Coturnix japonica: one gene and its partner. The protein of the gene in region 1 purifies or fractionates together with the protein of each later gene. This does not show direct contact. Links are inferred from orthologs where the notes say so. Each region holds a gene or a part of one and is shown in the gene's direction. Other genes may lie near its edges. The genes, in order: PRDX1 and TXN.

Evidence for each region.
Region 2: the proteins of PRDX1 (region 1) and TXN purify together in Homo sapiens (affinity purification with western blotting; 3 studies listed by BioGRID, with this or other methods). This does not show direct contact. The link is inferred for Coturnix japonica from reciprocal best matches to the Homo sapiens genes PRDX1 and TXN.

Annotation. Positions count from the first base shown.
Region 1 is NC_029523.1:18,753,296-18,757,696, reverse strand, and holds the start of PRDX1 (peroxiredoxin-1), read left to right. Parts: upstream 1-1,411; 5' UTR 1,412-1,543; intron 1,544-4,011; 5' UTR 4,012-4,022; coding exon 4,023-4,128; intron 4,129-4,401. UniProt on the Homo sapiens protein: Thiol-specific peroxidase that catalyzes the reduction of hydrogen peroxide and organic hydroperoxides to water and alcohols, respectively.
Region 2 is NC_029547.1:59,052,400-59,056,868, reverse strand, and holds the start of TXN (thioredoxin), read left to right. Parts: upstream 1-1,498; 5' UTR 1,499-1,699; coding exon 1,700-1,723; intron 1,724-3,920; coding exon 3,921-4,025; intron 4,026-4,469. UniProt on the Homo sapiens protein: Participates in various redox reactions through the reversible oxidation of its active center dithiol to a disulfide and catalyzes dithiol-disulfide exchange reactions.

The DNA of each region.
Region 1 (4,401 bases):
TTGTACATTAACACTGCAATGAGAGCACGGCTGCGGACTCGGGAAGAATGCAAGGAAACACTCGTTAATAGTTTGCACTGAGATTCTTCCCCTAATGAGGAGATGCAAAGTGTCCATGAGCTGCCGTCAGTCTGCTCGTTGTAAGGCAGCACGGCTCTTTTATGAAGGGAGAAAATACAAGTAAATGCAAAAAAAACTAAGAAGGTTCAGCTGGTACAAGTGAGACGTGGCTCAACATCACCTATCTCCTATTCCCACACTGACACGACAGAGTAAAGCTCACAATGACTCAAAGCAACGCGTGCAGCCCGGCCAGGAGGATGCACGGTAACACGGGACGTGCAAACTACGGCCATACATGCACCCACCCACCGTCACAGCTCGCCCCGACCCAAAGCGACGAGCCTTCAGCCAGCACGATACACACAGGAGCGCACTGCGGCAGCAGCCACACGTCTGTGCATCGCTACAACCGCAAAGCGCCCCCGGCCCCGCTGTGCCCGCCGTGCCGGTACGAGCCCCCGCCCGGCTCCCCGCATCCAGCCCGGGGCACCGCACCGCACTCACCCGCACCGCCGAACCACCGGGCTACGCCGCCGCTCTGCGCTTCCGCTTCCGGCCGCCAGCGGGCAGCGATCGCAACGGGAACAGAGCGGTGTGTGTGTGTGATGGCTGCACACAGGGCACGGGTCAGCTCTGCTGTGCTACAGCCGTGCCTGCTGCAGGGCAGGACAAGGCACGAACACAAGGCAAAGCGCCTCGTGGTGCCTGTACAAGTGGGTTTTATGTGTGTAAGTGTGAGGAATGAGCACAACAAATGGTGAGGCCGCTGCTGCGTTGTGTGCTGGTGCTGTGAGCCATGGCAGGCTGCTTGATATGGAGCTGTTCATTGGGACTGTCCGGCCGTGCAGGGTGATCCCGTGTACCTGCCCTGCAGTGACACCTCAGTGCACAGAGCTCGGCTGTGCTATGTTAAGGCAGAGATTGGAGCCACGGCTGCACGGCACCGAGCACACACTGCTGTTAACAGGCCTGACTGAAGCCACACAAACCCCATTCACCTCAATGGCAACCACCAGCCGATCTCATCCTTCCTCAAAACGCAGCCCATCCTCTCCCTCCCTGCTGACTCCTAATAGCAGCGGCTCGGTTCTATTACGGCATTAAAGCCATTTCTTGCTACGATCCATCTGACTCATCCTGCCGTGAGCCGCTTCCAGCCCTACTCCTCCAGCCATTCCATCAGCCATTCCCCCGGCACCGCCCGGCCGCCATCCTTGCGCTGAGCGCTGCCGTTGTGCAGCCCCGCACGGCGCGGGGCAGATAAGGCGGCTATGGGGCGCTATGGGGCGGTATGGGGCAGCAGCCCGTAGTGCCGAGTCATGCTGGCTGTGCGGGCGGCCCGGGAAGGCGGGACGGGCGGCACGGCCCGGGAGCGGCGCGCCCGTGTCCTCGCGAGATCGGCCCCGCTATAAAGGGGCGGCGCGGCGGGGGCTGCGGCACTTGGCGGCTTCCTGCTGGAGTGCGGGGACAGGAGCTTTGTGTGAGTGGGGGCGGGGGGCGCTGGGGGGCAGGGGGGTGTTGGGGCTGCACGTTGCTTTCGCTCACGGCTTTGCTCCCATTTCTCTTTTCCCTGTCCGCGGGGAGGTGTAGAGCCAAGCCCGCTCCGAGCAGCGCTGTGCAGGGATTGCTGCTTTCTGCAGCCGTTTGGCGTGTATTGTTTTCCTTTTTCCTCCCTTAAAAGAAAGGGTTATGGGGCGGATTGGGTCTGGGCACGGGCTGCCCGTGAGGAGGAGCGGCGGGGGCCGCTCGGAGCGGGGCTGGACTGAGCCGGGCCTCGGGCGGTGCGGCGCGGTCCGGCTGCGGGCCGCTGTGCGGTTCGTGCCTGCCCGGCTGGGGGCAGCCCCGCCCTCCTCGCACCGCAGCTCGGTCCGTTCACTGTAGCGATGTAGGGCTGGGGAAGGGTAGGCTCGCTCCCGTCGGAGTGTCCTAAAGGTATGAATTTCCAGTTGGAATGCAGGCACGGCTTGTTGTAATTGTAGCGAGGCCGCGAGCAGCCCAGGCGCTCTGAGCTGGTGCAGCTGCGTTTCGCTTGCAGCGCCGTGCTTCTGCTTCTAGAACGGCAGGACCTCGCACGCAGTCTGTGCTCCGCTCCTCGGCGGATTAGGAAGCGCTGTGGCTGTAAATCCAAGCAGAGCACGCGGCTGTGTGCTGCTGTGCCCGGCAGAGCAGGCCGTGCCAAATTGCAGCTGCTTTCTTCACTGCACTTGCTGCAGTTCTTGCAGTAGGAGACCACTGAGTCCTATAACCTGATGTTAAAGGCTTGCAGGTTGTTTGAAAAGGGACAATAATTCCTTCATCAGAAAGGGGAAGTATCAGAGAGCCGTCTGACTGCTTAGATTTGACCCTGGTATTACGCTCCAGGGAAGCGCTGATGGAACAAATATAGGTCTGGCGTAGTACTGAGCAAAGGGATGACCTTGAGCTTGAGTACAGGGAAAGAATGTAATTCCGTGGTAAAACACGGGGTCATGTACTGCAGATAAAGCAGGTATTGCTTAAAAGACAGAACTTTCTGGCTGAGGGTCTGACAAATGCTGTGCAATGGCAGTTTCAGACTTGCATCTGCATTTGTGGCTCCATGAAGTGATCGGAAGGATTATTAATGTCATCATTCTAGACCGTTTCAGTATCCTCTTATGAATGCCTTGCAGTTCTGGCTACCTTGGTTCATAAGATTCTGTCCTGGTTCGCTGCATTTGAAGGTGAACCCTTCGGATGAGCTGGGAATGTGGAACTCTTTGTACGAGGCAGTTAATTGTGCTGAGTAAGGTGGCATTTTGCAAAGCAAAATGAAGGAGGGGGTTACTGTCCATCCTCTCTGCATGTGAGAGGAGCCTTCAAATGTTAAACTCCTCATAGAAGCTCTAAATTGATCAGTTTAACTTGAATAGAAATTCTTATGACATGTGAGGTAATTCTCCTGGAGCTGTGGCAAGGGAGAAGGAGGCAAGAAATGAAGTGCATCTGCCCTGTTCTGGAATGGACTTTGTGCCATGCAAGCAGGGTTTTTAAGGTCTTTGAAACTCAGCTTTCTGTAGCAATATGAGACTCAGTAATACTAACAGCTCAGGGGCTTGTGTCTCCGTGCCAGATAATTCTTTTGCAGCATGTAAAATGGCTTCAGTGAGATCACTTAAAGACTGAGCTGAGGGAATGAGGTTCATGAAGTTTTGTATTTGAAAGGCAGTGCTCTGCAGGGAACTGGGATTCTGAAGTGCTGCATCTGCACACTGAGCAAAAGTGCTGTACAGAACGTGTCTGCAAAGGACTGGACTTAGGATTGATGGCCAGAAGTAAACTTCTCTTGGCCTCATGCACACTCTTACTCTTTTTCAATAGACTGAAATGCTCAGGGGAACCAGCCTGGCTGCACTGGTTTAAGAGTTTGTGAGCCTGTAGTTGTTAATATGAACTGTAGATCAAAATCACGAGTCTTTTGTTTGTAAATAAAACAAGGCTTCTTTGTTTGCAAGGCTGAAGAGTAGTTATGGAGAGTGTTGGTCTCTTAGAGACTAATCAAACTCTGCTTGGAAATAAGGTTTGAGGTCTTACATTCCTTTGTGAATTTGAACAAGAGTCTCATCATCAGAATTTAGGAAGAAAGACTTAATAGCTCATCCACCTATTGGAACAAAGGCTTAGTGTGGATACAGCTAAAACTCTAGGCAGCTGGCTCGCTTCTAGCCTGTAATGAGCTGTTCCTGGTCAAAGATAACTGTGTCCTTAGGAAACTAACATGCCTTAAAGAATGTGCTTAGTAGTTTCATCTGGATACCTGACTACCCAGGTGATAAGCTTAAAATGAGTTTTGCTCTTAAGCCTTGCTGCCAGATCAAATGCTGATATACTGCCCCATTGATAATTAAACTGATATGATGCTTTGCACCTGGAAGTAAGATGTATTCAAACTATTCAGCTATCTAAACTGCGCTGTTAATTCTTTTCCAGATTAAATCAAGATGTCTTCAGGAAAGGCTTTCATTGGAAAACCAGCCCCTGAGTTTACTGCCACAGCAGTAATGCCAGATGGGCAATTCAAGGATATCAAGCTCTCTGACTATAGAGGTGGGCTTATGTACATCTAATTATGCAAATGCAGTCTCCCCTTGTGCAGGGGATGGGAGGTGGGGAGGGGGAGCATCTAATGAAGCCTTTGGTTTGGTTTCCAAGTAACAGTGACCACTTGACTGTAGTTAATTTACAGTGATTTTGTTCATTGCCAACTGGAATGTGTTTGGGAAGCTGTTGACAGCATGACTGAATGTCCTAATTATGATGATTGTTGGTTATTAGCATGAAATTCCTCTAAAATAGAACAACTAAGTTTTATCCTAGATT
Region 2 (4,469 bases), on another chromosome or scaffold:
TGAAACCTGCCTGCATCACTGTGCAATGCATCTGTGCTGAGCATGGATCCTGCACGCTGCTTTTAGCACAGAACACCAAGGGGAGTGGGCAGCTGCAGAACCCTGTGAACATCACTCATGGGATGTGCATTGGGATGGCACACAGAGGTTGTGGTGGCCCAGGGATGGTCCTGCTTCCTGCCAGCTTCCTGGAAGCACAGGGCTGATTCCTGGAAAGTACAGTATGTGGCAGTGCTCTCCCCCTCCTTTCTGTCATTGTTCAATGGCTTCTCCTCCGTCTTTCAACCAGATGTGCTCTGCCAAGTGTTCAAGAGAGGCTGGGTGATTGGGTACGTCACCAGTGAGAGCAGAGCTCTGTGTGCACTGCGCATATGGCTGGCAGACACCCAGCACACCCATCTAATTATTAAATATTTATTGCACCTTTAATGGGTCAGTTACAACAGAAGAGTGCTCCCAAGGAGCAGGCTGCAAGGAACGGGAAAGCACCATTAAAGACTGTCAGGGCCAGATGAAATGCAGCGTGGTAATGCACTGCAGATAACCCGTCTCTCCTGCGATAAAACGTGGTGCAGCTGTTGCTGCAGGCAGTTCTTCCAGCAGCTTCCTCCCTTTGGCAGCTGTCTGCACCATTGCTTAATGCCGGACGTGCCCAGCCCTCTGTGACATGGCCAGGCTTGGATCTGCTGTGAAACTGGCCCTTCTGCTGCACTGTGTGATTCTCACTGTATCCTCTGGTCACAAAGTCCAGCGCCACTTAGACACTGTATAATGCCTTGGGAGAACTGCTGGCTGACGGGCCAGGACTGGAGGGTTGTATTAATGGGGTTACATGGCAGATTGTCACCAGTGGGGTCCTGCATTGGCTCCATTTAAGGTCCAGTCTCTTCAGTGGGTTATCGGGGAGCTGAGTGCACACTGATTGTCCTCTGATGGTGCTGAACTAGGGGAAGCCGTTGGTTCCCATGCAGGAACTGGATGATCTTTGGGGTCTCTTACAAGCCAAGGGGGCTGGGAATAAAAGGAAAAGGAAGATATGGAGCATGGGCAGACAGGGGACAGACACACGGACATGGGGACAGGCAGACACGTGGCACGGCCAGCACACAGCCCGTGTCGCAGCACATGGGTGCTGGAGGCAGAAAAAAAACCCAGTTTTAAAACGATTTTAAAACAGAATCGAGAAATAAAACAGGAGGAGTCCCCCCATACGGGTTCCCACCCCCTCCCCTCCTCCAGGGCAGGATCCTGCCCGCCACTTCCTGCTCGGCGTTACGCAGCACTTTTTCTTACAGTCACACGGTTGGTTTTTTTTTTCTTTCTTTTTTTTTTTTTTTTTTTTTTTTATTTCTTTTTTTCCCCCTATTTTCCCTCCTCTCCCCCCTCTCGCTGCTCCCCCCAACCCCCGCCCTGTGAAAGAACTATAACGGCCGCTCCCCTTCCCGCCTCGTGACGTCACCCGCGCCATGGGCGGGAAGGGGCGTGGCCCGGCGATGGGCTGAGCGCTCAGTGCGCATGCGCGATGCAGCGGTGGCTATATAAGGGCAGGCCCGGGGCGGCGGCGGCAGAGCGTTGGTTTGGCGTTGCGGAGTGAGGACCGGTATAGACACAGCCGAGAGCGCAGCGGCGTGCGGGACGCGCGTGCGCGGGGACGAGCCCGTTGTCCGCCTTGTGACCGTACAGCACAGTGAGAGCCGCCATGGTGAAGAGCGTGGGCAGCCTGGTGAGTGCATGGGGCGGCACGGTGGGGTGTGGGTGAGGGGGGCTTGGTGTCGGCGCCGGGCCTTGGGCCGCGCTCCTTTGTGTGCGCTGAGCCTGAGGCCGCTCCCCAATGGCGGCTGCGCTCCGGCCGCAGGGGGCACTGCGGGAGCGGGTTAAACTGCAACACGTCGCCCTGACCCTTGGCTGTCAGCTGATGGCCGCGATCACAGAATGACCCGGGTTGGGAGGGACCTCAAGGATCATGTAGTTCCAACCCCCCTGCCTGGCAGGGCCACCAAACATACGCCTTTACTAGATCAGGTTGCCGGATCAGCACGGCCCAAGGGCGGCTCGGTGGGTGTCAGACATCGTGCTTATAGCTGGGGTCTTGTATTAAGGCTGTCCCAGCTATGCTGAGGGCGGTGGATTTCTTACGGCGTTGGTTGGTGGCCTCCATTTTGGGTTGCTGGGAATCCCTGCTGCATTGAACCTCTCCTTGCCACCTGTTTTCTCGCAGCCGGCCCTTGGAAACTGAAATCTGCTAACATAATGCTGCCTGCTGCGCCCAGCAAAGTGAGGCCGAGGCCTCAGGGAGGCACCAGATGGGTATTTGAAAAGTGTTTATGGGCTTTTCCCCTCCAGAGGACTAAGGAAAATATTGCTGAAAAAGCTGTGAGATCCTCTAACAGCTGTAGCCACGTGGACTAACAGGGGGAGGTGTCCATTCTGATAATGGAGATATTTCTGTATGAATCTTATTAATCCATACTTACTGCAGAAAGACTAGAAGTCAGAAAGGTCAGCCAGTTTTCCTGCTGTATTCCTTACTTCAGGGATATTAATGTTTTCTGAGGAAAAAATACCAACACTTACCCCTTGCTGGGTATCTCAGGGGTAACACCGTTGGACCTCGTGTCTCTTCTCAGGCTGCCTGTAGCAATTTTAGCTAATTCTAGGGATGACTCACAGGGTAACGCCTGGCTGCAGCTGGAGAGCAGTGCTCAGATCTCCAGTGGTGTATGGGTTGTGATCTGCAGGAAGTGCCATGTCCTCCCACTTTGCCCTTGTTCTGTGCAATATTGCCCTGAGATGTGTGGTCATATGATCAGCGCGTCCCAGGGATGGCCTTCCTCATGCAGGGTACAGCAATCAGTCATTTGGACTGAGGAAAATAGTCCAATTGGTGGGTGCAGGAGGTAGAATTAATATTAATAAGGCTGTTACAGCACTAAGTTGTGAGAATATATGCCAGAAATCAGGGATTTGGAGGTGGGAGTGAGTGAGGCTCTATTTAACAGCCTTATGGTTTTAAGTAACCACTGGGAGCAGATAGCATGGACTACTGTGTATGTGAACGCTGAACTTTGCTGGAGGCAGTGTTGTGCTTTAGAGACTGGGATGCAGGAATACACCCCACATTAGCACAGTGGTGGAGAAGAAGAGAGAGAGGAAGAACTTCTTGCTGCCACCCTTGCCTGTGTGTTGGATCAGCATCCTCTGCTTGCTCTGCCTGAGATACTTGTTTGTTTTTTAGCATGCAAATATTTCTTTCCTTCAGTGCCTTACACTTCTGTTGAAACATTTGCTCTTTGAAAACAGCGGCACATAAGGAGCTCTGAAATGCAAAGCGTGATGTCCAGAAATGTCTCTTGTAACAAAGTGCAACAGAGATATCTCTGTTAACCTTAAATGTTAGTTGTTACTGGCATAGACTGTGTAGCTTTGCATTGAGTACTGGAGTTACACCCCAATTTACTTGGCATAATAAAATATTTATATGATGAAGCTGTTGCTCTAGGAAACATGCTGTAGGGTAAACCACGCAACATCTTGATTCTAACCATTGCTTGGGAAAGGTATCAGACCATGAAACTGTGGAAGTTTGTCCTCAGATTCTGAGGAATCCTAGAAGAAAATGGACGACATCCTATTAAATTGGAGATTAGAACTGAATGCTAAGGACCGTCAGGATCACGTTAGAAGTGTAACATTACTCAGTTTAGCTTACGGTCTCAGTTCATGCTGAGTTCTACATAAACTTCCACAGTTCAGTGACTGAGCATTGTGATGTTTCATAATTGATACTCATAATTCATCAGAAGACAGTGGGGGATGCAGTGCTGATGGAGCTAAGGGAAAGCTGACTTGGGGGTTAGTCTTGAACCTTTTGCAAATGAGGGGGGAAATCCTTAATGTTTTGATTTCTTTTTTCTTTACAGTCCGAATTTGAGGCAGAACTGAAAGCTGCTGGTGAGAAGCTTATAGTAGTTGATTTCTCTGCCACATGGTGTGGACCATGCAAAATGATCAAGCCATTTTTCCATGTAAGTAGCTTTTGTCTTTCACAGTAACTTTAAGTATATAGAAATACTTCTGTGCAACTTCTAATATGGTGGAAACCTTCTTTGTCTATGGTGTGTTTTCCTGAAGGAGGAATCTTAGAAGGATATGATAGGTAACTATTGAATAAAGCACTTGGATACACAGCGGGGAACTAACACACTGTAGCGTTTTGTCTGTCCTGGTGTGCTGATGCATCAGTCTGTAGGGACCTAGCTGGTGCATTTCCACAAGAACTGGCAACAGTGGAGTTGAAATAATGTATATATGCTGGCTCTGATTATTTAAACTGCGTTCAGTTAAGCTGTAGCATCTTTATGTGTTGAGGGGGAAGCCATAAGGGAAGGAAAGGCCTTTCCCTTATGCTTAGGTGCTTCAGCAGACTCTTCCAGGGGATGGAGCTGGAAATTAATTTCTGGTCAGTAAAG